Caenorhabditis elegans: one gene and its partner. The protein of the gene in region 2 purifies or fractionates together with the protein of the main gene of each other region. This does not show direct contact. Each region holds a gene or a part of one and is shown on either strand. Other genes may lie near its edges.

Region 1 (14,570 bases), on a different chromosome or scaffold from region 2:
TTCTCTACAGATACTGTTTGAAAATGAGCTTAAGAAATCAAAATTGTTTTGCTTGCAAAAATCAAACATAACTGGACTATTTTTTTTACAAAAAACAAAATTCAGGCGAAAGTACAGTCCAAAAATCAATTTTTGGAATACATCCCTCTGTTGGTAGTTTCGGGTTTCTAGTTTTATATGAGTTCAAACTCTGGTCAATTTCCCAATTCAAAACCAATTGAATTTTGTCGATTTTTTGCAAAACGCACACATTTTTTTCTGTTTGGCGTATATACCGTTTTGTAGATATTAGTTTAGACATATAATAGTTTTAAAAAACTTTGTTTTAACAGAAGTTGCCAGACTGCCCATTTCTTATTTTATTTTTGAAACATGCGGAATAACTAGAAAAATGAAGACACAGTTCACAGTTTGATCGTATTTGAAATTTTATTGCAAATTTGCGCATTTTTTAAAGATCAGTTTATCAAGGAGTTCTAATTTATGTGAATAACTAATTCTGCATATTTATTGTTGTATCCGTCTTTGAGTAGATCATTTTTTTTTCAGGGAATTCAATAATTAGGAAATTGAGAAATATTACCAATTCGGCATTTGGCATTTATCAAGTTCAAATTTATGAATATTTGAAAATCCAAATTCTAATATTAATAATGGGGGTATTTTTTTCCAACTAATACAATTTTTCGACAATCAGTACGTTTGGCAACTACAAAATCTGAAAATTTGAATTCGAGTTGCCAATGCTGACATTCCAAAAGTACAGTATAAAAAATGTAAGACAACAATTTTTTTGGTCGACTTCCAAAGTATGAGTGTCAAAAACTGAGTAATTGCCGCAATAATTTTTTAAAAATGTTGTGAAACGTTTTATTATGATACCAGCCGTGGACCGCACCTCCGGCGCGGCCCCCGACTTCTGGGGCTGAAAATTTTTTTTTTCTGAAATAACCGTAATCCTACAGTATTCCTACCGTACCGCTATTGTACCACTACAGTACCTCAACTATATCCCTACACTAACCCCAATTCACTATCCCTCCAGAAGCCAAAACTTCACCGACTACAAAAACTACATAGACTACACACAAGGTCACACAGAATAAGCACTTTATATATAGTAAATGATTCTGTCATTTTGGCACCATAGGAGCAGTTTTTCACACTTTACCCGCTACTAACTTCTAGCAGTAAGTTACTTCACCTTAAAAAAAGCTTTGCATCACCCTCTTCGACGCAGTAAACATTACAAGTTGGAATTTATTCATTTTTTTGGACTAAACTTTGAATGTATGAAGATATTGTACTCCTTGAAATCTTTCGCCTCATTGGTTCTCAGCATGTCAAAGTTTTTATTTGAGGAAAAACCTAGAGAAAAAACTATTGAAATATTTCATATGTTTTTTTCCTTATTTTTTCTTCTTCGTTTTCAACTTTTTCTCTCAATTTCTTTTTTTGAAAACAAGTTTCAAGATTTTATTTCTCGACTTTACACGATTTAATCATTTTCTCCATCAATTTTTAAAACAACACAATTTGTGAATTGTATGTACATAATTCTATTGTTTAGTGACTAACTAAACTTGTAAGTCGATATTGCTGATCATAATATAAACTTCTGTAGATATCTTATTTCATTCCATTTCACTCTGACGTTTTCCTTTTCAACATTTCCATTTTGAAAAAAAAAATTTGTGTTTCAAAGTCCCTTTTTCCTTCTTTTTTTTATAGGGCTCGTTATTATTGACATTCATTTTCTGAATAAGAGAAAGAAAAAAATGCGGAAAAAAGTGAGCGAAGCCCATTTTTAGAGAGAAAATTGCCCATTTCTTTCTTTCTGCCCGTTGATTTATTCACTGCCTACAATTTCTCATCCAGTTTGGAGGGCAAGCTGCTTCCTAGTGAGAGCTCCGATTTCCACAAGTGCGTGCTTGCTGGAAAGCTTCACATGTTTTTGATGCGTTGGAAACTTTAACTTGGGCAATACGCTGTAGTGGGTTTAGTTTTCAGACTGTTGTTTATTTGAGTCCAGGCTTGGATTGAAATATTTTTTGAAATCTTAGCGTCGTGTGCAAATTTTTTCAAAACATATATCAGAGCTATTTATGCTGAATAGTACCAATAAAATTAAAAAAAAAAACATTATGTAACGAACATCTAGGTTTATTTCATGTTTTAGAAAATTAGCTAAAATGTCCAAATAAAACTGGTGAAAAATGTTATTGAAATTTCTAAATTTTATTTCTAAATTTAATGTACATTTATATTTTCGATTTTACTATTAGTAGTTTTATAAACCGAAATATAACTTTTCAAAATAAATTAGTAGCTCAATTTGAAATAGGGTACGTTCCTAAAACATGTGCCTCTTTTTTTTGCCATACTTTAAATTTTATTGCTATCGTTTTTCTCTTAAAATCAATATCATTATGCAGCCATTTTCACGTTTCATGAGCCCACTGTACTTTTATGTGAGCCACACTCAAAAGGAAATTGAGCCGAAATGCTCTCTTCCTCTATCTTCCGAATTTTTAACGAATCCTATACTTTGTTTGATTAGTTTTATTTTGAATTTGCCATTTATATTCCTTGCAAAATGTTAAAGCTGTAGTGTCACACCATAGCAATTTGTGGTCTCTTATTCTAAACTTTGGTCATTTACAATCGGTGGAAAAAAAAGGTTCATAAGCTGCCTTCGTTTACCCATGTGACCGTGGGGGTTATGTGGCTGTGCGAGACAAAAAGAAACAGACACATGAGGTCTTCAAAAGTTGAGTTGGATTCCTATGGGAATCATCAAAAAATCGTTTCCGAATTTAGATGGATATGGGTTAGTGAAGAAGTGCGATCTATGGTCATGAACTTTTCTCAAGTAGTTCTGAGTTGCTCAAGCGGAAGTTTTTCATTTGCAGCAAATCGTTTTCGTGTAAATTTGGACTGGTTTTTATTAGTGATGTTATTATTGTTCAAAGACCTATAGTTTAAAAACTATTTTAATAATTCGGCCTTATGATTGTACCGCACACTTTAATTTAGCATTTAATCTACATATTTTGGAAAAAGTTATGAAACATAAGCAAATGAAAGCCGTGTGCGTTTTCTGGTATTTTTTTGAACAACATTCTCAAATTTAGGGTTCGTGGGCTTAACTTTGTTTAATTGCCATTTTATGGTGTTTCTAAATTAAGTAAAAAGAGACTCTTATGATGTAAGCCATTTAAGTTTAGAAGAAATTGCCCAACTATGTACAATAATTAGTAAACTTTGAATCTTAACTGAATATGTCTTTCTGTGGCGTGCGGCAAATCCCAAAACTTGCCGAGCTTGGCAAATTCGGTAAATTCGCCGTGCTCAACAAACTCCGAAAACGTAGATATTTTTTTTAAATGTTTTTTGGAGCATCAAAATTACTGAATCATAACTACTGTAATTTGCCGAATTTGCCGGGCTCGGCAAACTCGGCAAGTCACTTTTTTTGAAATTTGCCGTGCTCGGCAAAATTGGCAAATTTGCCGAGCTTGGCAAACGGCAAATTCAGCAAATTTGCCGCACATCCCTGGTGTTTTTCGAATAAAGAACATTTATAAATTGATTACTTTTATTGTGAACATTCAACTTTTGAAATACTCGATTTTTTTTTAATTTTCCAACACCTGTTCTAATTCCGCAGCATTTATCCCAATGCCACAGGACAGCTGCTTCCAAATGTCCTTCCATCTTGTCAATATAAAACATGGACAAATGTTCAAAAATTAAAGCTTTATATTTTCCAAATTTTGCTTCTTTTTTTTCGCTAAGCATTTTTTGTTTTTGCGTGAAGGCAAGGAGATATTTGAAATAAATCAAATTTTGCCAATTAGACGACTACGGCGTCCCTCTGGATACAAGCCTCAGAACTTCCATGGAGTTTTCGTTTCCAGCGATTGCTTTTGACGTTTTTTTAGGATTCAAAATTTATTCTTATTCAAGAATAGCATCATTTGAAATTGAGTATATAAATCCAATTCAAACCAGTTTTGTTGAATTTCAAACTCTAAGTTGAGTCTTAAATGTATAAACATGAACTGCTCCTGGTATCCTTAACCAGAATGGATAGCGCGTTTAAAGGTGGAGTAGCGCCAGTGGGGATTTTGTCTAAATACACTTATACTGATCCAAAACAACCGAATATCATAATAAAACACTCCAAAAAATTTTAGATTTTTCAAAATATCCGGTCAAAGTTTAGGAAAATTGCCAAAATTTTGTAATTGTCACATTTTGACAGTAAATAAAAAATTTTCAAAATATTTTTGAAAAGTTTTATTGTGATATTCGGTTAGTTTGGCACCATAGAAGTAGTTTTTAACACTTTCCCCCGTGGCGCTACTCCACTTTTAAGTATAGATGACAGTTTGTTTTACAAGGATGTGAGAATACAAAAATTATTGTTAAGCACATTTCATGGCTCTATGAATGTGAATGTGGTTTTTATAACGCTTAATTTATAAAAATGTTGTCTTGCAGAGGTCTCTTCAAAATTTTTGATACTAACACACTTGTGAGCAGTGTTCTAGAACTCAATGGCACAGTTTTCAATAGATATTTGAAAATTTCCTATTGCATATTGTGTAAATTTAGCTTTGAAAATAATTGTATGTCGAAAAATATTTGTTTTTTCCAGTTTTTTTTCAGTCCAGCTATCCGTCCGTCACTATGCAATTTCAAATACTTTGTTAACAAAATATATATCTAGACACTGGTTAGATTTGGAACGAAAACAAAAACTTTCTTCTCTTCCTTTTCCTTTTGTCGTTTATTCTGTGAGTTTGGCTTAGCAAGCCTCCCGGACCACGACGTCGTCATCGGCGCCGTCAGTGCTCCGCGTTTTTTTTTGTGGAGCCAAGAGAAAGAGGGCAGAAAGAGCTTCAAACTGCGGTCGGGAGCTCTAACACACACGTCTTGCTTTTCTTCTTCTGCTTTTGCTCTCCCTGTGTGCGAGAATATGTACATACGCGAAAAATGTGCGCGCGGGGGGGGGGGGCCCCTGCCGAGTAGCAGTGCGCAGCACACATACATAGCAGAATATCGACTAATCGAAAACGCCTCCTTCCTTTTTCTTTTTTCCTTCTTTCTGCTTCGTTTTTCTTTCTTTTTCTTATTCTTATTCTTCGTTTTCCGTTTTTGTTTTCTTTTTCTTCCTTGATATTCTCCTCAGCCTGCTTTGCTCGCTATGGAGTGAAGGGACAACAAAAAACTCAGCTGTTATTTATTCCATGTTCTGTTTTGCTTTACAATTAAAAAAATCAATTGAGCTATTTTGCTAGATTTTCAATACTTTTAAACCATGTTTTATAAATGTTTTATAAATTTCAGAGCATATGAAATCATTGTACATCAACTGATTAGTCACAAATTCATTATCAGGAGTAGTATGGGAATGTTAAATTCGTTATTTGTTTACACACCGCTGGTTCTTAGTAAAATTTTCTAATAGGAAGTAACTGGAATTTGTTTGGAAACCTACAAATCTGTTAATTTCGGAATTAATATCCAAGTTTCCAAATTAGCAGAAATAAAATTTTGAAGTAATATCTGGTTGAAATGTTGTGTTTCTGCTATAAAACTTGAAAAGAAACCTTGAATCCTGCTAGAGAATCGCCTTTGGTCAGAAAATCGAACATCAGTTTTTACTGCAAGTGACAATTTTCAGGGAGTATTTGAAGCCGTTATTTTTAATCCCAACTTTTTAAATGAAAATGAGTATATTTTTCATATTTATGATATGCATATATATATGTTCAATCTATCTGTGTTAGAGCTTGATGATTATTTCGAATCGGGCGGGTTTAAAGATCTGCCAAAAAAATTTGCAGTACTACCCTGTCTTGAAAAAAAAAGAAGAAAAACTGTGATACAATTTAACAATCATGAACATACGACAATTCTCTACAAATTATAATATCATAATGAATTCCATATTTTGTTTAAACAAATTGGACTAAATGAATTTCCTCGTCTCTAATAAACAAATAGAACGTGGAAAAACCTTCTTACTAATCATGATTTCTGGTCACAATTGTGACTCGATATTTGCTAAGATGACGATTTTTCTTTTCTTCCTACGGTACTGATCGGACTGTTGTAAAAGTTTCACAATTTTGAAATATTTTATTTTATTTTTATTTTGCATAATTTCCAAAGGTCATCCATCTCATTTCCATTCTCAATAAAAAAAATTTTTAAAGTCTGCCTCTTTTTATTAAAGAAACGATGTTATTTGCTCACTAACTTCCATTCACACGTTTCCAGCGAGATAGCAGGTAAGTTGAGAGACGCAGGTGGTTAGACTACAAACAGAAGGGTGGCCGGCTGCCACCCTCTCCACACCACTATTTCACAACATTTACAATGAATTGATCTACCCGCCAAATTCTGGTTTTCGGCAATCCAAAACTGTTCGCTTTGTTTTCCACTTTTTCATTTTTCATTTCTCCTCCACTACTTATTTGGATTTTCTTTTTCAAATGTGTCCCGTTTAGTTTTTTTTTGCATCTAACAACCTTCTGTTTTTTTCCAATATTTTCATTAAACAAGCCTCCAAATTCTTCATAAAATTCCTCGTGAAAAGAAATTTCTTGTCGTGGTTACTGCTGACGCGTTTTGCGATGAGTGTGTGTTGGCACGCTCTCCGCCGTCGCTGGCCAAGCCTTTTTCTCTCCCCGCCGCAGTACTGACTGCGAGGCTGACTCACTGCGGTCATTTCGTTTGCCTCACCCTCACTTTTAGTCTCTGCATCTCCGAGTCTCTCCGCGCTTTTTTGTACGCCGATCGTTTCTTCTTCTTGTTTTCCAAACATTCAACACCGTTTTGCCGACAATGATTCTGAATATTTGTTGATTTTGTTTTTTCAAATGCGATTTGAGGATTTTTTTTTCTAATTTTATATTCTATATTCTTGAAGGTGATAAATTTCATTCTAAAACATAATTATTAAACCTCCGAAAACCTCATTGCGAAATCGTGCTTTTTCCATTAAATCTTCTCAATGCTCTTCCTCATATCATTAATCGACTAAAAAAATCGATTTTCAGGTAGTTCAGCGTATAACCACCAGGATCAGCCATGTCGTGGCAAAACCAGGGAATGCAGGCGTTGATCCCTGTGATCAATCGTGTCCAGGACGCCTTCTCCCAGCTGGGCACATCTGTCAGCTTCGAACTTCCACAGATCGCCGTCGTCGGAGGACAGTCCGCTGGAAAGTCGTCGGTGCTGGAGAATTTTGTCGGAAAGTGAGTCACAAGAAGAAAAAAAACATAACTTTGCGAAATAAAATCACAATTTTTTTCCTTTCCAGAGACTTCTTGCCACGTGGATCAGGAATCGTAACACGTCGTCCACTTATTTTGCAGCTTATTCAAGATCGCAATGAGTACGCCGAGTTCCTACACAAGAAGGGTCATCGCTTTGTGGATTTTGATGCAGTTCGGAAAGAGATTGAGGATGAGACTGATCGTGTCACTGGACAGAATAAGGGAATCAGTCCACATCCAATCAACTTGCGTGTCTTTTCTCCAAATGGTAAGCATTTAGAAACTCACAGAAACGCAAGTGCGCTGGATGATTTGAGCATCTGAAACCAGACTTATGCAACTTTTTTTAAAATTTAAATTGCATTAAAGATTTCATAAATTTACAGTGAGTTGCACAAAATCACTGGAAAAATTCACACATTTTAATTAATTCATACTTAATTTTTCAGTTCTAAATCTGACACTCATCGATTTGCCCGGTCTCACAAAAGTGCCCGTCGGAGATCAACCAGCAGATATTGAGCAACAGATCCGTGACATGATTCTCACATTCATCAACCGTGAGACTTGCCTCATTCTTGCCGTCACTCCGGCCAACAGCGATCTCGCCACTTCGGATGCGTTGAAACTTGCGAAGGAAGTCGATCCACAGGGTCTTCGCACGATTGGAGTCCTCACCAAACTTGACTTGATGGACGAGGGAACCGATGCTCGCGAGATCCTCGAGAACAAGCTGTTCACACTTCGTCGTGGCTACGTCGGAGTTGTCAATCGTGGGCAGAAGGATATTGTCGGTCGCAAGGATATTAGAGCTGCTTTGGACGCCGAGAGAAAGTTCTTCATCTCACACCCATCCTACCGACATATGGCTGATCGGTTGGGAACAAGCTACCTTCAACACACTCTTAATCAACAGCTCACCAATCATATCCGTGATACACTGCCAACACTTCGTGATAGTCTTCAAAAGAAGATGTTTGCTATGGAAAAGGATGTGGCCGAGTACAAGAACTACCAGCCAAATGATCCAGGCCGCAAGACCAAGGCTCTTTTGCAGTAAGTGATTTCAATGGAGGTGCTTTATTAACAAAATTTTTGCAGAATGGTTACCCAGTTCAATGCTGACATTGAGCGCTCCATTGAAGGTTCCTCTGCAAAGCTGGTTTCAACCAATGAGCTCAGTGGAGGAGCCCGTATCAATCGGCTTTTCCATGAGCGTTTCCCATTTGAGATTGTTAAAATGGAAATTGACGAGAAAGAAATGCGCAAAGAAATCCAGTATGCCATCAGAAACATTCACGGTATCCGCGTCGGTCTCTTCACTCCGGATATGGCGTTTGAGGCAATTGCCAAAAAGCAAATCACCCGTCTGAAGGAGCCATCGTTGAAATGCGTTGATCTGGTGGTCAACGAGTTGGCTAATGTGATCAGACAGTGCGCTGACACTATGGCTAGATATCCACGTCTTCGTGACGAGCTGGAAAGAATCGTCGTCTCGCATATGCGTGAACGTGAGCAAATTGCCAAGCAGCAAATTGGGCTCATTGTTGACTACGAACTCGCTTATATGAACACAAACCATGAGGATTTCATTGGATTCAGCAAGTAGGAGTTTAGACTTTGCTTTTAGATGTTTAATTTTATTTTTTTAGTGCTGAAGCAAAAGCCTCCCAAGGACAATCAGCGAAGAAGAATCTTGGAAACCAGGTGATCAGAAAGGGCTGGCTCTCACTGAGCAACGTATCGTTTGTGCGTGGCTCCAAGGACAATTGGTTTGTGCTCATGTCGGACAGTTTGAGTTGGTACAAAGATGATGAGGAGAAGGAGAAGAAGTACATGCTCCCATTGGATGGTGTCAAGCTGAAGGATATTGAGGGTGGATTTATGTCTCGTAACCACAAGTTTGCTCTGTTCTACCCCGACGGAAAGTGAGTTACTCAAGAATTTTGCGATTTGATTGCCATTTCAACATTCCAAGAGCCCGCACGCTTTTCTTTCCACATTAGAGTTTCATTAGGCAGAAACACAGGAACACTAAATTGAGCATGAGTTTTGAAACGAGACAAAAAACGCACACACACACAAAATCAATTTTTTTTGAATATTTGTTTAAATTAAATTAATTTGCAGGAGGTGAGTGTATAGTTTACTTTCTTCACTTCTTCTTCTTCTTTAATGACTTGTAAGACAGAAAAACCTTTGTGTTGTCGTCCTTGTGATCTGTTTTCATTTTTTTTACCCGAAAAGTTTATCCACCTTGAAACCAACACCTTTCACTTCTGTAGTCAATTTCTTATTTTTCCTGTTTCTCTTTCTCTGCTGTGACAGTTTCAGTTCAGACAAAAAAAAATACAGCATGCAAAATGCTTTTTAGATAAAAGATTCTGAACCAGCATGAAGATGTAAACTCATGTATCCTTGACCTCACGCACTTGCTTCTCCCATAACCCTTTGAATTCCAGGAACATCTACAAGGATTACAAGCAGCTTGAGTTGGGATGCACCAATTTGGACGAAATTGATGCGTGGAAGGCTTCATTCTTGCGTGCTGGTGTCTATCCAGAAAAGCAGAAGGCACAGGAAGATGAGTCCCAACAAGAGATGGAGGATACCTCGATTGATCCACAACTTGAGAGACAGGTGGAGACAATCCGTAATTTGGTTGATTCCTACATGAGAATCATTACCAAGACAATTAAGGACCTGGTTCCAAAGGCGGTGATGCATTTGATTGTTAACCAGGTGAGGGATTTTAAAAGAATTGAATGATTCATCGTGATATCATCACGGCCTGTTTTTTTAACCGTACACAATAAACCTTAAACTAAATATCTCAATAATTTCAGACAGGTGAGTTCATGAAAGATGAACTTTTGGCCCATCTCTACCAATGCGGCGACACTGATGCTCTCATGGAGGAATCTCAAATAGAAGCCCAGAAGCGCGAGGAGATGCTCCGAATGTACCATGCTTGCAAGGAGGCGCTCCGCATTATCTCTGAAGTCAACATGAGCACCCTTGGCGACCAGCCGCCGCCATTGCCGATGTCTGACTACCGCCCACACCCATCTGGACCTTCACCGGTGCCGCGTCCGGCTCCTGCTCCACCAGGCGGACGTCAGGCCCCAATGCCACCACGCGGAGGACCCGGTGCCCCACCACCACCAGGCATGAGACCACCACCAGGTGCGCCAGGAGGCGGCGGTGGCATGTACCCACCGTTGATTCCAACGTAAGTTTATGCCTATTTTTTTTCGAAAAGAGCACCAGATCTCTTCTAATCTTTCCTATTTTGGTCCGTCATACTCTTTCTTCTGTCAAAATTTTTTTTCTGAAATTTAGAAAAAAAAATACTGTCAACAAGTCAGAATAAAACCTAAAACTAACGTGTACCAACCACTCTAGGCGTCCGGGACCAGGCGGCCCACCACCCAACATGGCACCGCCTAGATAATAATGTTGTGAATAATTCCCCCACTGACCAAAGGTTTGTTAATCGCGAAGAAGCAGTACAGAGAAGTGTATAATTGTTTGTTGTAATCGTGATGTGTATTAGCAGCATCTATCTAGTGTTGTGATCCCTTGGCACTTTATCGGAACATTTTTATATTCCACTATCTTCCTGTGATTTTTTCTACAGAAAGAAGCAAAAGCTAACTTTTCTTTCTCATCAAATTTTTCATAATTTCGTCATTATTTGCATGTTTCAATGGTGGTCTAGCTTTCTGTTGTTGTAGTATTAATCTGAAACGTTGTTTTTTTTTTCAGAAGAGTACCGACACCATCCAACGGAGCACCAGAGATTCCAGCTCGCCCGCAAGTCCCCAAGAGACCTTTCTAAATGCTTTTACATCTCCATCCTAGCTCACTTGTCATACTATTACCGTTCCCATAGTAATTGTACAATGCCCCCGTTTTATCAAGCATTTCTTTTTTTTTTTTGAGAATTTTTAAATTAATCAATATCCCGAGTTCTTCCACCTTTTGAGCAAGTCTCGTTGAGGATTGCATTGGTCCCAGCGCTAACTAGGCGTCAATTCATCCACCTCTCCATTCTCTCTCCCGTTCCAACTGTGTTTTTCTTTGTCAGCGGCGAATTTTCCACAACCAATCGAGTCCTATTTCTCTTTTTTTCCCCCACCTCCCAATAATTTTATTTGCATGTTTTATAAACTCACTTTGTTCAATAATTTATTGATTTTATTTTTTCTATGATTTGAAACTTTACATTTTTCCTACTCTTCTATAGCAATACTTTGTCACTTACAATAACCCCCCCCCCCCAGTCTGCCTATATTTATTTAGATGTTCTTTATGGCCACCCAATGTATAAACTCTTTTAGTGCATTTGTAGGTTCTTTCTTCATCCCACCCAATTCCCCCTCCACCACAAATCCCAGTTTTGATTATTTTAAGCCCATATTTATAAGAAGTAAATATATTTATAGATTTTTCTTAGATTATAAGCTCTTCTAGGTTTTCCCTCGTTGAGAAGAATGATCTGAAAAAGCCTAAATTATAGATTTTTGAAACGTATTGTGTAGAATTTGTATTTATTCGTGAAAGTGGAATAAAGTTAAAACGGAAAAATGTAGTATTAGTTTTGTGCAAAACATTGGCCCTATAAATGTAGATGTAGGAAAGTCTGTTTATTCTTGGAAAAATCCCTAATTTTTGTGAAATTGTTTGGTTTGCAGCGGTCGGAAGCAATCTTGAAAATAATTATCATTTGTAATCACATTTTGGTAATTTATTACGTTTATTTTCTTCATTGATTGGTAGGTATATGTTTTCTTTCGAAAGATGAACAAATGATAGTGAATTGGTGCACCTATAAACGGAAAATATACCTTAAACAATTAATGGTTAAAAAATCCACAATGAAGAAAAGATATTAGAAAATTCCGGTTGCTAAGACATTGAAAAAAACTTGAAAAAAGACTTTGAAAACTTGACAAAATTTGGCACTTTTGAAAAGAACCCATTTAAAACTTAAAGCATGTACTAAAACGAGAACTTTATTTGAAAATTATTATATGTGTATTGCTGCGCTTGTACATTTAAAAAAAGGAACCTTTTCAATTGATACTTAAAACAAATAGAAGTTTTTTAATCCATATCCTCAAGCTTCGCAGATAAACCCTCAATATGCCAAACTCTAATAAGTAGCAATGTAACATGTTTTTGGCGCTGGTGAGTAGGTACTAAAAATTTAATAAATGTTTCCGATTTAAAATTTTAGATCTCGTCAGAATCGTTGTCAACGCAGAACTACAATTCTGGCATACTTTTGTTATAACGATATCAAATACCAAAGAACTCGTCGAAATTGCATACTTGTTGATGGAACCATCCGTTCAACTGAACGCCAGCCAGTTTATTACTTAAATGAAAACTAATTTTTCAATTGATGACGGTTAGTGACTTTAGGTTTCATTTGATCAGCGTAGTTGCTGACACTTAATGGTTCGGGAACATAAAAGAACATGTCGAACACGTACATGACGACTGCTTAAAAGTTGAAAATTTCCCATATCCGTTTCTCATTTTATGTAGTCTCTTTCAGTGTGGCTACTAACGATTTTGCAATTTTACATTATACTTTGTTTGTGAGTTTCAGGAAACTTGTGAATTCGTTCAAACCCTTCAGAATCAGAATAAAAAATGGTGCTTTGTATTTCTTAAATTTTAATAACTTTTTCACGAGCACTACATTTTAAAATTTTGTAGAAGTTGTCTGTTTGCACCCATTTAATTTCAAATGTGTCATAAGTCAACAACTGGCACGTTGAGTATACATAGAAAAGAATGATTTTACCTTTTAATATTTTTTTTGTTATAAAAGCTTGCAACATTTTTATTACCTCTATGGATAAAAAACGAAGGCTAGGAGAAAGAATCTAAAAACTCGGATTAGTTTTTGGATACAAAACAGAAGATTAGAATATTTCCCTTCACGAATTTTGAGGGTAAAACAATTTTACCGAAGTTTTCAAAGGTTTTTGTTCAAGATTCCATTCATTTTTTTTGAAATACTTCATACACGTGGTGTCAGGTTGTTACGGTTTGACTTACAAATTTTGCCCAAAAAATGAGACGTCAGCACGTTTTTAGCCATTTAAATCAGTTAAGAACTCTGTGTCTCAACTCCCGCATTTTTTGTAGATATTTGTAGATCAAACCGAAATGAGACACTCTGACACCACGAGTTCATATTGTGAAACTCTCTTGAATACTTATCACTGTGCCAACCCATGTCACACTTTTAAATACATTGAACAGTATAAAAAACTCAGGTCAAAAGTAACATTTGATTGATCCCCCCCATTTCCTTCTGAACTTTGCTTCTCCTGTTTTTGCGTCGTTTCGCCATCATCATTAAAGTGACTCTTGGACTTGAGACTCTAGTTGCTTATCGATTGGTGATTGAAAAAGTAGGAGAAACGAATCTTTTCATCTACTCCTCTTCTGCACCCGCCTTCTCTTCCTCTTCTTCATCCAGCAGTGCCATTTCTCTTCGGCAGCAAGAATGGTGTGTAAAGTGATGACGGCGCAGTTTCTTCTGGCACAGGAGTAGCACAGCACAACCTCAGCAGTAGTTGGAGCAACCCAGCAGCAGCATATTTTCGATACTCATCGAGCACTTGCCGTTGTGTTGTGTCATCCGCCAACAAATCAGCAAACAACGTTTTTTATCCCGATCATTATTTTTTTTCCTCGCTCTGGGTTGGACTTGTCTATGTTTCAATTTTTATTACAAAAATAATGGAAGAAAAACATTTGTTTGAAAATTTTAATCCCTACTTTAAAGTTATATTATATATAGAAAATAAGTCTAAAAAATGTTTTATTATTTTTTTAAATTTTATTTAAAATTTTGAAAAAAATTTCGTATGGCTGATGTCCCAGACCCATCATTTTTTGTAGTTTTCTGTTTTTCTGAAAATTTAAATGACCTTCTCCGGTTTTTCTAAGATGACGTCACATTTCAAAAACCCATTGAAACTAATTTTCAGAAAACGGAAAACTCAATAAAACTAAGCGTGAAATGGAAAAAAAATCATTTAAAAAGTTAGAAAAATTTAAAAAAAAGATTTCAATTCTACTCGGCCATTGCGATGAATTTTTTATCAATTAACGCTAAATCTGTAAAAATTAGATTAAAAACCAAATAATAAAGAAACATACAAGGAATTTCAATTTTAAAAATTGTGTCATCAAACTTTTTGAGAAACTTCAGTATTAATTTAATTTCATGGAATGCGGTTTTTTCTCTAA
Region 2 (11,335 bases):
TCGCTAAATTTTTTATATCTAATCACGTGAAGTTTGATTCCGTCACAAAGAACAATTGCTGACAGGAGTGGAAAGATCGAAATGACACTCAACTTGTGAACGCGCCGCGCTATACGTTCGAAAATAGTGAATTCTGATACGAAATTAGAGTTCAATTCAGGGATTTCAGATTCTTACATGGAGGAAACTGTAATTAAAACAAAAAAGAAGAAAAGTTTCTGCGAAAATTAAAGAAAAAAACTGTTTTCAAGATTTTGCGCGCCGTTTGCAATATTGCGTATTGCGCAACGAATTTCACGCAATTTCACACAATGTTCTCTGCGTTCTCTGCGATACTTCCTCGCTTTTCAGCAAATTCAATTAATAAAATAGAAAAATTATGTTCGTTTTGTATATTTTAAGTTTGAAATCAATTTTACTCAACTTTTAAAAGTTAATCCTGAGTTTATAAATCTAGAGCCGACCGGGGGCGACCCTTCGTCGTTTAATTTTATCAAGACACAAATGTCAAATGAAAAGCCCTGTGGGAGTAGTAGAAAAAAAGGAAAAATATTTATTGTTTCGAAATAAATTCCTACTAAAACTATTTAACATGATATTCAAAGTATTTTGTAAGTAGATAATCTCATAAAGATCACAAAAACGGTTAGGATAATGCCAATTGAAAATTTTGAACGCGTATCTAAGATATGGCAAGTAAGAATAATCAAAGTGAATAAATCTGCAAAATAAAGTGTACAAGTGTAATAAATCGTGTTATCGTTGAAGCTTCGATACAATCTTCGCTTGTTTGCTGTAAGAATCCTTTTGATTCTCAATTGTGCTCAAAATGTTCCGATCAACATCAATAATGCTTCCAATAAAAGAATCCTTGTATCTCCAATTCAAATAAGCAACGCCTTTTGAACATCTTGTCAGGTTCCATGGACTGTCGTAGATCAGAGGCGAGTGCCACATGGCAAAAGTTAGCTTGTCTTTACGCCTGAAATATTTTATTATCAAGTAAAATATGAAATTGTATTGAAATTCGAAATTTTTACTTTTTCTGCCAACCATGAAATATAAAGTCAGTCTCTGACCAAACAGAGTTAGTGAGCCAACCATCTCGAGCCCAGGAAAATCGACCCTAAAAGTATAGTTTTTAACTGAAGAAAATATAAAGAAATTTAAAAAAACCTTCTCTAATATCATAATTTCTGGTATTCTATTAGCTTTTATCAATTGATGTGCACAAACTTCGTAAGTCGATAAGCTCTCGTAATCTTTCGCCACTTTCCAGAAATTATTTTCACAAGAATCAATTTTATTCTTCAATTCGAGAGGCCCTTGACGTAGAATTACGCTCTGAAAAATATGGTAAAATTGTTAATCTTTTTCTCATTTGAGACTAAAGCTTACATGGATCGCCCCATTATCAGATCCATGAAAAGATTTTGGAAGTTGACTTTCAAAAGTCGCCCAGTACATCAAGAATTGACGAGACCAATGAGAATTTCGAACCAAATAGGATCCAGCCATCACTTCGTGATTCATAATTCGATTGTAGAATACAATTTGAACCTGAAAACAAAGAAAAAATAAAATATATTTTTCAGAGAATTTATAGCAAATAACCTACATTCTGATCTTTAGGAATATATTCTTCAATCAAGTGATTCGGATTGATTACACCCATGTCACCATCAAGAAAAAGAAGCCACGTATTGGAAATTGAAGACATTTTCAGAGAAAGAATGCAATGACGGCGGAACATGAACTGAAAATGTTACTTAATCCTCAATAGACCTGGTTGTTTCAAGCTCACATCAGCCTGCTGACACTTTTCAGATATTTTCTTCTCATTTTTCCCATGAAAAATATGAACATCGTACTCGAAATGTCTTCCATAACATCTGACAGTGTCCAGTGCCATTTGATATTTTTCTTCATCTTCAAAACTATTCAGGACCACCACTATTCCAATATTTTCAATTTTATCTGGAAAATTTTAATTATTGGATAAATAGATTTTCGCGATTTTAAAACCTTTTCTTATCACTGAAATATTTCTGATAACTTCATGATCATACTGATTGGCAAGATAAATGTATCCTTTTCCAAGATGAAGCTCTTCTATTAATATCACTCCAACTACAAAAGTTACCAGCCCAATTGATGTGTATCGTTGAAGAGCCCGCATTTAAAGATCAATATTCAATTCAAGAGAGAAAACACCGAAGCATACTGAAATTAAAAAATTAAACTAAGGAAAAAAGAGTACTGTAATTCATACTCTCGTTGCAGCGGACTTTTCATAACTTTTCTCACGATTTTCAAAATATATAAGTTTTTATTACATTTGAAATTTTTTAACATTTTAACAATTAAAAAAAAGTTTTTTTCGAAAACACTAAATATGAAAAATTAATAAAAATCTTACACAAACTAAAGTTTAAAACTACAGTACTACCCCTTGAATTTAATAAAATCTTGCCGTGCCAAGACCTTGTACCGTATTTCTGGAGCAAAAGTTTGTATCTGGACAATAAATAATTTTTTTCCGTTTTTTTTGGAAAACACAATAATTTCGCAAATTGTGAGTCTTAAAGGCTCATGTACAATTTTTTGAAATAATATTTCAGTCGTTTCGAGGATATCCTAACTTTGGTTAAAAAACAACATGTGGAGATGAACCATTACATTCGAAATGTCTAACCAAATTTTGAATAAACTTTAAAATTTCATTGTGAAAATTATTACACATATGGGAAAAATTCCTAGATGCTTTATCAATCAGTTAGTTCAGTTCACAACCAAGTAGCTAATACACGAAAAACGACTATTGTACATTATAAGTTACAGAATTTTCAGAAAAAAAGGACCATCGGGAACGGAATACACATGAAATGGCACATCAGAAGTTTATTAGTACATTTTAAATGCTGACAGGCTTTCCCTTCACATTCTTTTTGACGAATTCGGTGAAAGTTCTCAAAAATTTCGGATATTCTTTTTTGTAGACGTGACGAAGAGCTGCAGTTGGTACCCATCCGCCGGGGTGAACTGAAAATTAAATTTAAAAATTAAAAAAAAAGAAAACTATGGTATTACCTTGCGAAACATAAATAATATTGCATTTAACATCATCTCTCGTTAATTTTCGATCAATATGTGGATCCTTCACTGTAGTCTCACAGATCATTGATACCGTTAGTCCAACTCTCACAGAAGATGAGGATCCAAGCTGAAAGTTTCAGTTACAATTGATTTAATGTTTTTTAAATTCAAAAACCTACCGGAACATCGGCTCTTTGAATATCTCTATTGCACACAATATACAAATCATGTGCTCCATCCCTCTTGTGCTCATCAACTCGTCGAATGTGTGAAACGAATAATGATTCTCTCGGTGCAGCAGGCCAAACTGTTTTATGTTTCTGATGTAGAACCACAGAATCCGGTGAAATGTGCTCAACAACGCTCATCGCTTCCAGCGTATGGTCCCATTGCATTTTATACCGTGCATCATAGAAATAATGCATGAATTCCAGTGCAGTGACACCATCAACTGCATGTATCGCCTTTAATGGATCAACAGGAACACCTCCTTCATCTTCAATTTGTCTTGTATACATTCTCATTGGACCGTCTTCAGCGAACAGACTCCATACATTATCCTCAGCACCGGCAAGAGCATATCTAGAAATATTGAGAATTTGAAAATGATTTTTAAAACGATAAACTTACTTGAGCTGTTCTAGAGCGAGCTTATCGATTGTGGTGTAAAGAGAGTGTTCTTGGCTCACGAGGAGGTCGTCATAGTGACCAGTAACTGGGTTTCCTTCCTGCAATAGCACATGTTTTAGTAGAGAAATATGGAAAGTTTGGCAAAAACTCTCGTTTCTGCGAATTTTATTTTAATTAATTTTTTATTTATAGATGTATTTATTTAAAACTTATATTAAAATTAAAAGGCGCGTACACTTCTCGCATTTAATAAAAAAGGCGCTAAAAATCGCAAAATTTTGCATCCTTGTAATATGAGCTTACAATTCTGAAGCTAGTCTTCTTTTTCTCTTCCTCTGGAACAACTATATTTCCATTTTTCTTGTCTTCCACCTCTTCTTGTCTTTTTTCAACGGTATCTCCATTTTTCGAGTCCACATCAAACTCGTCGGCGTCAAAGAACTCATCACAATCACTTGTCTGAATGAGAAATATGCAAATTTGCAAGAATTGTAAATTTTAGAAATTGTCTGGCGTATTTTTTGCGATAGATTCATAAATTTTTGATCCGAAATTGATATAAAAAATGTATTTAGAAAATAATTTCTTTAAACTTTAAATTTTGCAGTAAGTTCTGAAAAATGCTCAATAACAGTGCCAAGCTTTCGTTACACTGATCGGGGAGCAAAATGACTTTGAAGCAAGTATAGAGCATTTTTAGAACATTCTAAAACTTATCTGAGAGTTATTTTTTTACTGAAAAATTGATTTAACATAATCTTATAGATAAGAATTAGGATTTTAAAACTTTTTTGGATTTTCTTTTCTCGAAATTAAATTTACATATTAACAAAAAACTCACCACATCAATATCAGGTCTTGCAATAATCGTAGAAGTTGTCATTGTTGAATTATCGTCAGACATGTATTCTTGTTCAACAATAGATTCACGACGAAGAACAGAAGAAGAAACACTTCTAGTTGCACATAAAGGTTCCCGAAATGGTGGTGGAGTGGATGAAGAAGAAGATGGAATGTTTGGTATTACCACCTGAAAATTATTTGATTTAATTCTCAAACTATCAGCAAATTGTTACTTTAGAAGTCTTGACGAGATCCACGATATGATTAATATTAACAATCAATGCTAAATGTGTTGCTTTTACTGATAGAATCGTGGCTTGTGGGACAATACAACTGGCTCCACCTTGTTCCAGAAGTCTTTCGATTGATGTCATCTGATCCTTGCACATAGTTCGGTATGCTTCGAGTTCGGAGAGTTTCGTGGCAAAAAGCTTCGTTGATTCATTATCATCAGATTTTTGATTATTAGTAGCAAGAACTGAGGAAACCGATGGATTACGGGAATGACTTTTAGTGCTAGTCGAGCTATAATCCGAATCGTTTTGTACCTGAAAATTATTGATTTTCCCATTGAAGTTTTAACTTGATTTCTCTGATTCTAAAAGTAGAATTTCGAAGTGAACGATTTTTTATATTTTATAGCCTCGTACTATTCCCGAACTTTCAATTGACTTTTGTGTGCCACCGTCCGTACTATATATTTACACGGGATGACAAAATCAGGTAAAGATCAACAATGGTGTTTTTGATGTAAAAAGGAACATAAGAGAGGTGTTTGAACTATGATCGGAGCATATTTAAACGAAGAATATACAACTTTTTATCTCGTAATTACTCCGAGAGAATCGCTGGGGAAGTAATTTTTTGAAAAAATTATGTTTTAAAAATACCAAATTCAGATTCAGAAAACACTCACTGTTTCCCGGACAACTGATCGCATCCATAGAAGTTTTGACTGTGAATTCTCTGCTTTCAAATACCAGACAACGTTTTCGCCCATAGATATTGAGAATTCGTTTTCATCAAATTCGTGGGCCTAAATTTTTAAATATACAAGAACTTTCTGAGAAATCAATAAAAGCTCACAGCTATTATTGCACTTTTGAGAAATATGCTTCCTCTGCATCCGTGGGATTTTTCGGCTTTTGACAGATAATAAACAAGATTTCCCTCTGTGATTTCAAAGTATCGATCTTGCCATCCATTCACGTAGTTTGTCCATTTTTTCATCACCCCATTCGTGGGAAGGACACTGGAATGAGATAAATTATATTAGAATTTATCATTGAAACAATTTCTGTAATTTAAAATATCTACAAAACTCACACTTCGCTCTCCATCGGCTTCGTTCGCGAATCAGCAGGTGATAAATGATAAGACAGAGGCTCTCTTTCCGAGAGACTTTCCCCGTTTCGATACAGTTTTGCTCTCACTTTGTTCTGCAAACAAAGCTCACGGTTTGGTAGGCAAACAGTTAAATGGTAGTCGATGGCAGAAAAGAAAGAGTATAGACAACCTTACATTTAGTCGATTCTAAACATAGGGCGTCGAAGGTGGCGAATATGGGAGAACCGGTTTCCTTGTACTGCAAATAGTTTTGTGAAGTAGTGTCTGAAACGAAAAAAGAAATTTGCGGAGCCAGGTCATCAAGCATGAAATAAAGTTCGACGCGTAACGAGGCACAATAGTTTAATGGGAATATGCAGAGCGTTTGTGCTTGTTGCATGGAGACACGAAAAGCAGACATAAGTCATAGAACTTGAGACAAAGTGTAATAAACTATTTATGTCACACGCGTTTTTTCAGATATCAAATGCAGCGATTCACTTCTCAATGTGTTTTGACGTTACAGGTGACGTTAAATTCCGATTTTTGTTCAATAATCCCGATGAAATTTCATATGAAGAAAACCAGTTTGACAGAACATAATTCTCGCAAAAGGTTCAATTGGTGTCCAAAAAAATTGGTCGAAAACAGTGGTCAGTAAAGGCGCTCCATTGCAATTCTGGCACAAAGCCAAGAATGCTGCGAGGTCGGGTCTCGCCACGTGCTGAAGTACGGTTACACTCGTTTCATTTGTGTCGGAGTTGATTGAATGGGCGCCGGCGGGTTATTCTTTTCACTTGCGTTCGTCGCTGTCGCCTGTGCTGTTGACACCTGTTCCAAGTTGGATTGTCCGAAAATGAGCAACACTGAGAGAACCTTCATCGCCATCAAGCCTGATGGAGTCCACCGGTTAGTTATCTTTGAAGAAACTTATTCTAGCATCCTCAATGGATTTTAGGATTTTCAAAATCCTAATTTTTTAAATTTCAGTGGTCTCGTCGGAAAGATCATCGCTCGTTTTGAAGAGCGCGGATACAAGCTTGTTGCTCTCAAGCAGATGACCGCCTCCAAGGCCCATCTTGAGGTACGTTTTCACGAAATTACAAAATTTTAGGCCCAACCAGTTAAATTATTATTTTTAGGTTCACTACCAAGACCTCAAGGACAAACCATTCTTCCCATCCCTCATCGAGTACATGAGCTCTGGACCAGTCGTCGCCATGGTCTGGCAAGGACTTGACGTCGTCAAGCAAGGACGTTCCATGCTCGGAGCTACCAACCCACTCGCTTCCGCCCCAGGAACCATCCGCGGAGACTTCTGCATCCAAACCGGACGCAATATCTGCCACGGATCCGATGCCGTTGACTCTGCCAACCGCGAGATTGCTCACTGGTTCAAGCAGGAGGAGATCAACGACTACGCCAGCCCATTCATCAACTCATGGGTCTACGAATAAACTGATTGCTTATGTCTCCCGGTGTTTTCACCGTTTTCGTATCTCTGCTGAATGTTGATAAAGTATTGCTTCCCACCTAAAACATCGTTTTTGTTGACATCTATTCCTGCGCATTCTCTAATGCGTTTTCATGGCAACCAATCCTACACGACTCAGCTGTCATCAAATCTTTTATTCAACCCGAAAACGGAAGGGGATTAAACATATAATATATTCAGATGACTGCAATAAGTTATGAAAACACGAATTAGGATAATAATTTCAGCTTTTAAGCTCTGAATTCCGCCACTTGCACGAGTTTGTTGCTCAGATTTGTGTTATAGAAGTCGAACTCGGGATTGTCCAAATGGTTTTCGAAATCGGAAAGCTCTCGGTACAACTTCTTCTGAATAACAGCTTGAAGGCCACGCAAGAAGTTGGAACCTTGGAAAATCGTTCTGAAATGAATATACTAAATGAATATATAACATCAAATGTTTTTTCCTACTTCGTTTCTTTCCAACTATCTCCATCTTTTTCATATGCCACGAGGCGGTCTTGTTCACAATCTGACACCAGTCTTTCGTTCATCACTTGTACGAGAATCGCTGCCGAAGAGGTAACAGAAGATATTCTGTCGGCGAGTCGAGTGGCATAAACGTTGAGAGAAGTGTCCGATGGAGTTGCATTTGAGAAATAGACGCCGACGAGGGAGGCACCAAACTTTCCATGGACGAGGGCTGTGGCAAGTTCCAGAGGAGGTGCGAGTGGAGTGGATTCATGGCAAAGAGGAACACAACTTGTTACCTGGAAAATAAATTATCAGATAGGATGGCAAATTCATTAAATTAAAACATTTCCCTGACTCAGAAATCTAGTATCGCATAACTCTTCTCAAAACGTAGAAAAGTATTTTTTATGCTCTCTTCAGCAACTGTTCATCATTTTGAGGTGGAGAGCGTAATTATTTTTTCTTGCTTTCAGCTTAGCAATTCTAATATATCGATAATTGGTATTAAAGACGACTGTCTTTGGAGAAAATAAGCGTACCGACATGACGATCAACTAATTTAAAATGTTCGCATTTAATGAATTAAACAAATAAAATTGTACCGTGACTTTGTCTCCTTTCTTGTTTCCAATCAGCAGTCCAAAAACACCCTTTGCCGGGTATTTCAGGCAGTGAAGGATGATTGTCGAGTAGGGGAGAGCCTGTGTTTCGACTTGATGCTTCATCTGCAAATTACTTGAATTTTAGCGAATTTTGTTTATTATTTGAAATCATCTAACAAATTTTAGGTATTCAGGATTGTATTGAACAATAAAAGAAGTTGAATACAGCGGTTTAATGAAAATAAATTAAGAAAAACAGTTATAACGTTGTTCTCTCTCGAAAATCGTCTTTAAAATTGAGTTATATTACATGAATAGATTGTTTTAGGAATAAATAAAATTAAGAAACATTTTAAACTGGAATCAAACCATTAAAACAATAAAAGAATCTCGAACACTCAACAAATATAAACTAAAAATCGTTAATTCCAAAGAGAGCATTTGTATTCTCAATGGAGCGCACTTGCGCAGAAAATTTATCAAATAAAAAAAAGGAGGGAAACAAGAAATTTCAAATGATTTTGATGTTTTTAAAGTTTAATTCGGATAATAATCATAAAATTAGGGAACAGAAAATCAAAAATTACATAAAATCTATGAAGTTCCTGATGAGAGCTCTTGAGCTCAATAATTCGATTGAAAATTCGTTAAGATTGGTGGAGCACAGCGCCTCAAATCGGGAGAGTTAAGAAAATTGAGAATTGGAAAGTCCAACGGAGCGCGCTTGCACACTTTTACGGTATTAAATGAGTTTCAGACGAAATTTCGCGATTATTCGAGTTTTCAAGATGAAATTTGGAAAAAATAATTAAATATTGGGATTATTATTGCTTTAAAAAAGTTTTAAAAAACATTTTATTGAACAAATTCAAGATTTGGCTGCTTTTTCATTGATTTTCGAACCGACTAGAACAAGTTAACTCTATGACAAAATTTCTACGCGAAACAAATTTTTTCAAGCATTAATATGTTTGATTCCAATTTTTAAACGTCAGCTTGATAGAAATAACACGGTTTCAAGTCTTGAAATTGTTCAAAAATGCACAAATCAACGGAAACTGTTTAGTTGGCAGCTGATCTTCACTAAACCAACACTAAATGTTCAGATCAAATCACAACTTGTTTGATCATTTGAAAAAACATTTTTGAATCATTGTTTCCCACAAAAAGCAGATGATAAGTAGTATAGCATGATGAGAATCCATATGATTCTTCATATGCGCATAGCTATAAATACTGTAACTTCGACAACTCCTATCTCCTCAGAGAGGCAAGATATCAAAAAGTGATTAACTAAGAAATTGCAGAACATATCAAAAACTATACTAATTAATTAAAATCATGTGTTTATCTCTTAAGATGAGGGAGTTAGAGCAGCCAGTATAATAACAAAAAGTATGCAATACAAATGTACGTCTAACTCCCCCATCTTGAAAGATAAAAACGTAGGTTAAATTGAATATCATAGTTTTTGATGTGCTCTACAAGGTCTCAGTTGATCACTTTTTGGTATCTCACCTCTCCGAGTAGATAGGAGTTGTCGAAGTTGAGGTATCTAGAGCTGCAGAGGGTAGGAAGAATCTGATGGTTCCTTATTAAGGAAAAGAAAATATAACACGAAACTTGTAATAAATGTTAATTTGATCATTTATGTGAGTATTTGAGCCATTTTTTAAGGAAAATTGGAGAGCAACACTTACATAAGAAATTTGGCGTGGCATAGATCCATTGGTAGATTGGGACATTGAAATTTGATCAGAACTATTTTATTTTTAGTGATTTTGATCGATTTGTAGCTTTATTCTAGTGAAATCTTCGATTTCATAAAAGGTTTTTAACCAATTTTGCAAGATTTCCCTTGATAAATGTTGCTTTCCTTTTTTATCGATTTCGTTGTAAAGAAAAATCATTTTTCTGTGTTATCAGTCAAATTAATGACTAAAACTCTTTAAAACGATTCAAACTATTAGCAAAAATTCTAAAATTGAATATTTATGCAATAAATTGCTCTAAAATCAATTTTTGTTTGCAAAATTCTGTTTTTGGTCATCAAAAAAAATTTTCAGATTTGCCGAAATTCAGAGCTCATTTCGAGCTTATTTGGGGAAAAATTTATATTAAAATGAAGTAAATCGCATCGCAAACAGTCTCTGGGCGGTCCCGCATGTTGAAAATTGCTTTAAAATCCCTAAAATCCAGCAAAAACGCGATATTTTACTGTTTTGCTACACATTAATTCCAATTCGTGCGACGTCTGCAGCAAACGCGCTCCCGCGCCAAAACCACTTTCTTTTTCTCTCCCGATCTGAGGCGCTGTGTGGAGTTGAAACTGGAAGATAAAGCTGAAAAAGATTTAGAATTGTATTATTTACATTAAATATGAAAAACGAACCATTCCAATTAAAGAATAAGGAAAGTTATATGACGTATCACATGGAATAATGAGTCCAGGACCGTCGTGTCTTCCAAAATTTTCTCGCATTCGACATACTTCATTTCTGGTTTCCAATTCTCGATAAATCTGCAATTTTTATATTTGGTTCGAATCTTTGTGGAATATTCACATCTTCAAATCTTGTTCGTTTCATTTCCAAATTCAAAATATTCGCTTTCGAAGTTTCTTCATAAATGTTCTGAAAATCCTAGCTCTTATTTTTAGGTTCTGAATTAATATCAGTCTACTCACGGTTTCTTGTTCACAAATCAGGTGATTTTGCTCTTTTTCTTTGCCATGCTGATCTTCGTTTGAAGATCTCTAAAAATATCCAGGTTCAACATTCGAGTTTTGTTTTTATCTGCAGTCTTGCCAGTTTTGAACTACCCAGGCGCGAAATTCAGCGATTGCTGGTTCAAAAATACGGTACCTGGTATTGAGACGACAATTTTTTTTC

The links.
Region 1: the proteins of ndk-1 (region 2) and dyn-1 purify together in Caenorhabditis elegans (affinity purification with western blotting; one study listed by BioGRID). This does not show direct contact.

What each region holds. Positions count from the first base shown.
Region 1 is NC_003284.9:15,561,817-15,576,386, forward strand, and holds dyn-1 (Dynamin), read left to right. Parts: upstream 1-7,104; coding exon 7,105-7,271; intron 7,272-7,336; coding exon 7,337-7,560; intron 7,561-7,741; coding exon 7,742-8,348; intron 8,349-8,393; coding exon 8,394-8,897; intron 8,898-8,944; coding exon 8,945-9,220; intron 9,221-9,754; coding exon 9,755-10,034; intron 10,035-10,138; coding exon 10,139-10,524; intron 10,525-10,697; coding exon of another isoform or gene 10,698-10,746; exon of another isoform or gene 10,747-10,779; intron 10,780-11,060; coding exon 11,061-11,133; downstream 11,134-14,570.
Region 2 is NC_003279.8:10,549,211-10,560,545, reverse strand, and holds ndk-1 (Nucleoside diphosphate kinase), read left to right. Parts: upstream 1-6,632; 5' UTR 6,633-6,751; coding exon 6,752-6,804; intron 6,805-6,885; coding exon 6,886-6,979; intron 6,980-7,037; coding exon 7,038-7,352; 3' UTR 7,353-7,427; downstream 7,428-11,335. Other genes in the region: F25H2.7 (Nucleotide-diphospho-sugar transferase domain-containing protein), read right to left, coding at 757-982, 1,041-1,126, 1,177-1,344, 1,399-1,560, 1,619-1,756, 1,805-1,977, 2,026-2,179; cert-1 (Ceramide transfer protein), read right to left, coding at 2,915-3,042, 3,091-3,223, 3,276-3,678, 3,727-3,824, 4,030-4,185, 4,568-4,756, 4,803-5,117, 5,486-5,605 and 2 more; F25H2.4 (MPN domain-containing protein), read right to left, coding at 7,621-7,789, 7,840-8,138, 8,445-8,567; F25H2.3 (ANK_REP_REGION domain-containing protein), read right to left, coding at 10,670-10,786, 10,837-10,965, 11,009-11,077, 11,131-11,199.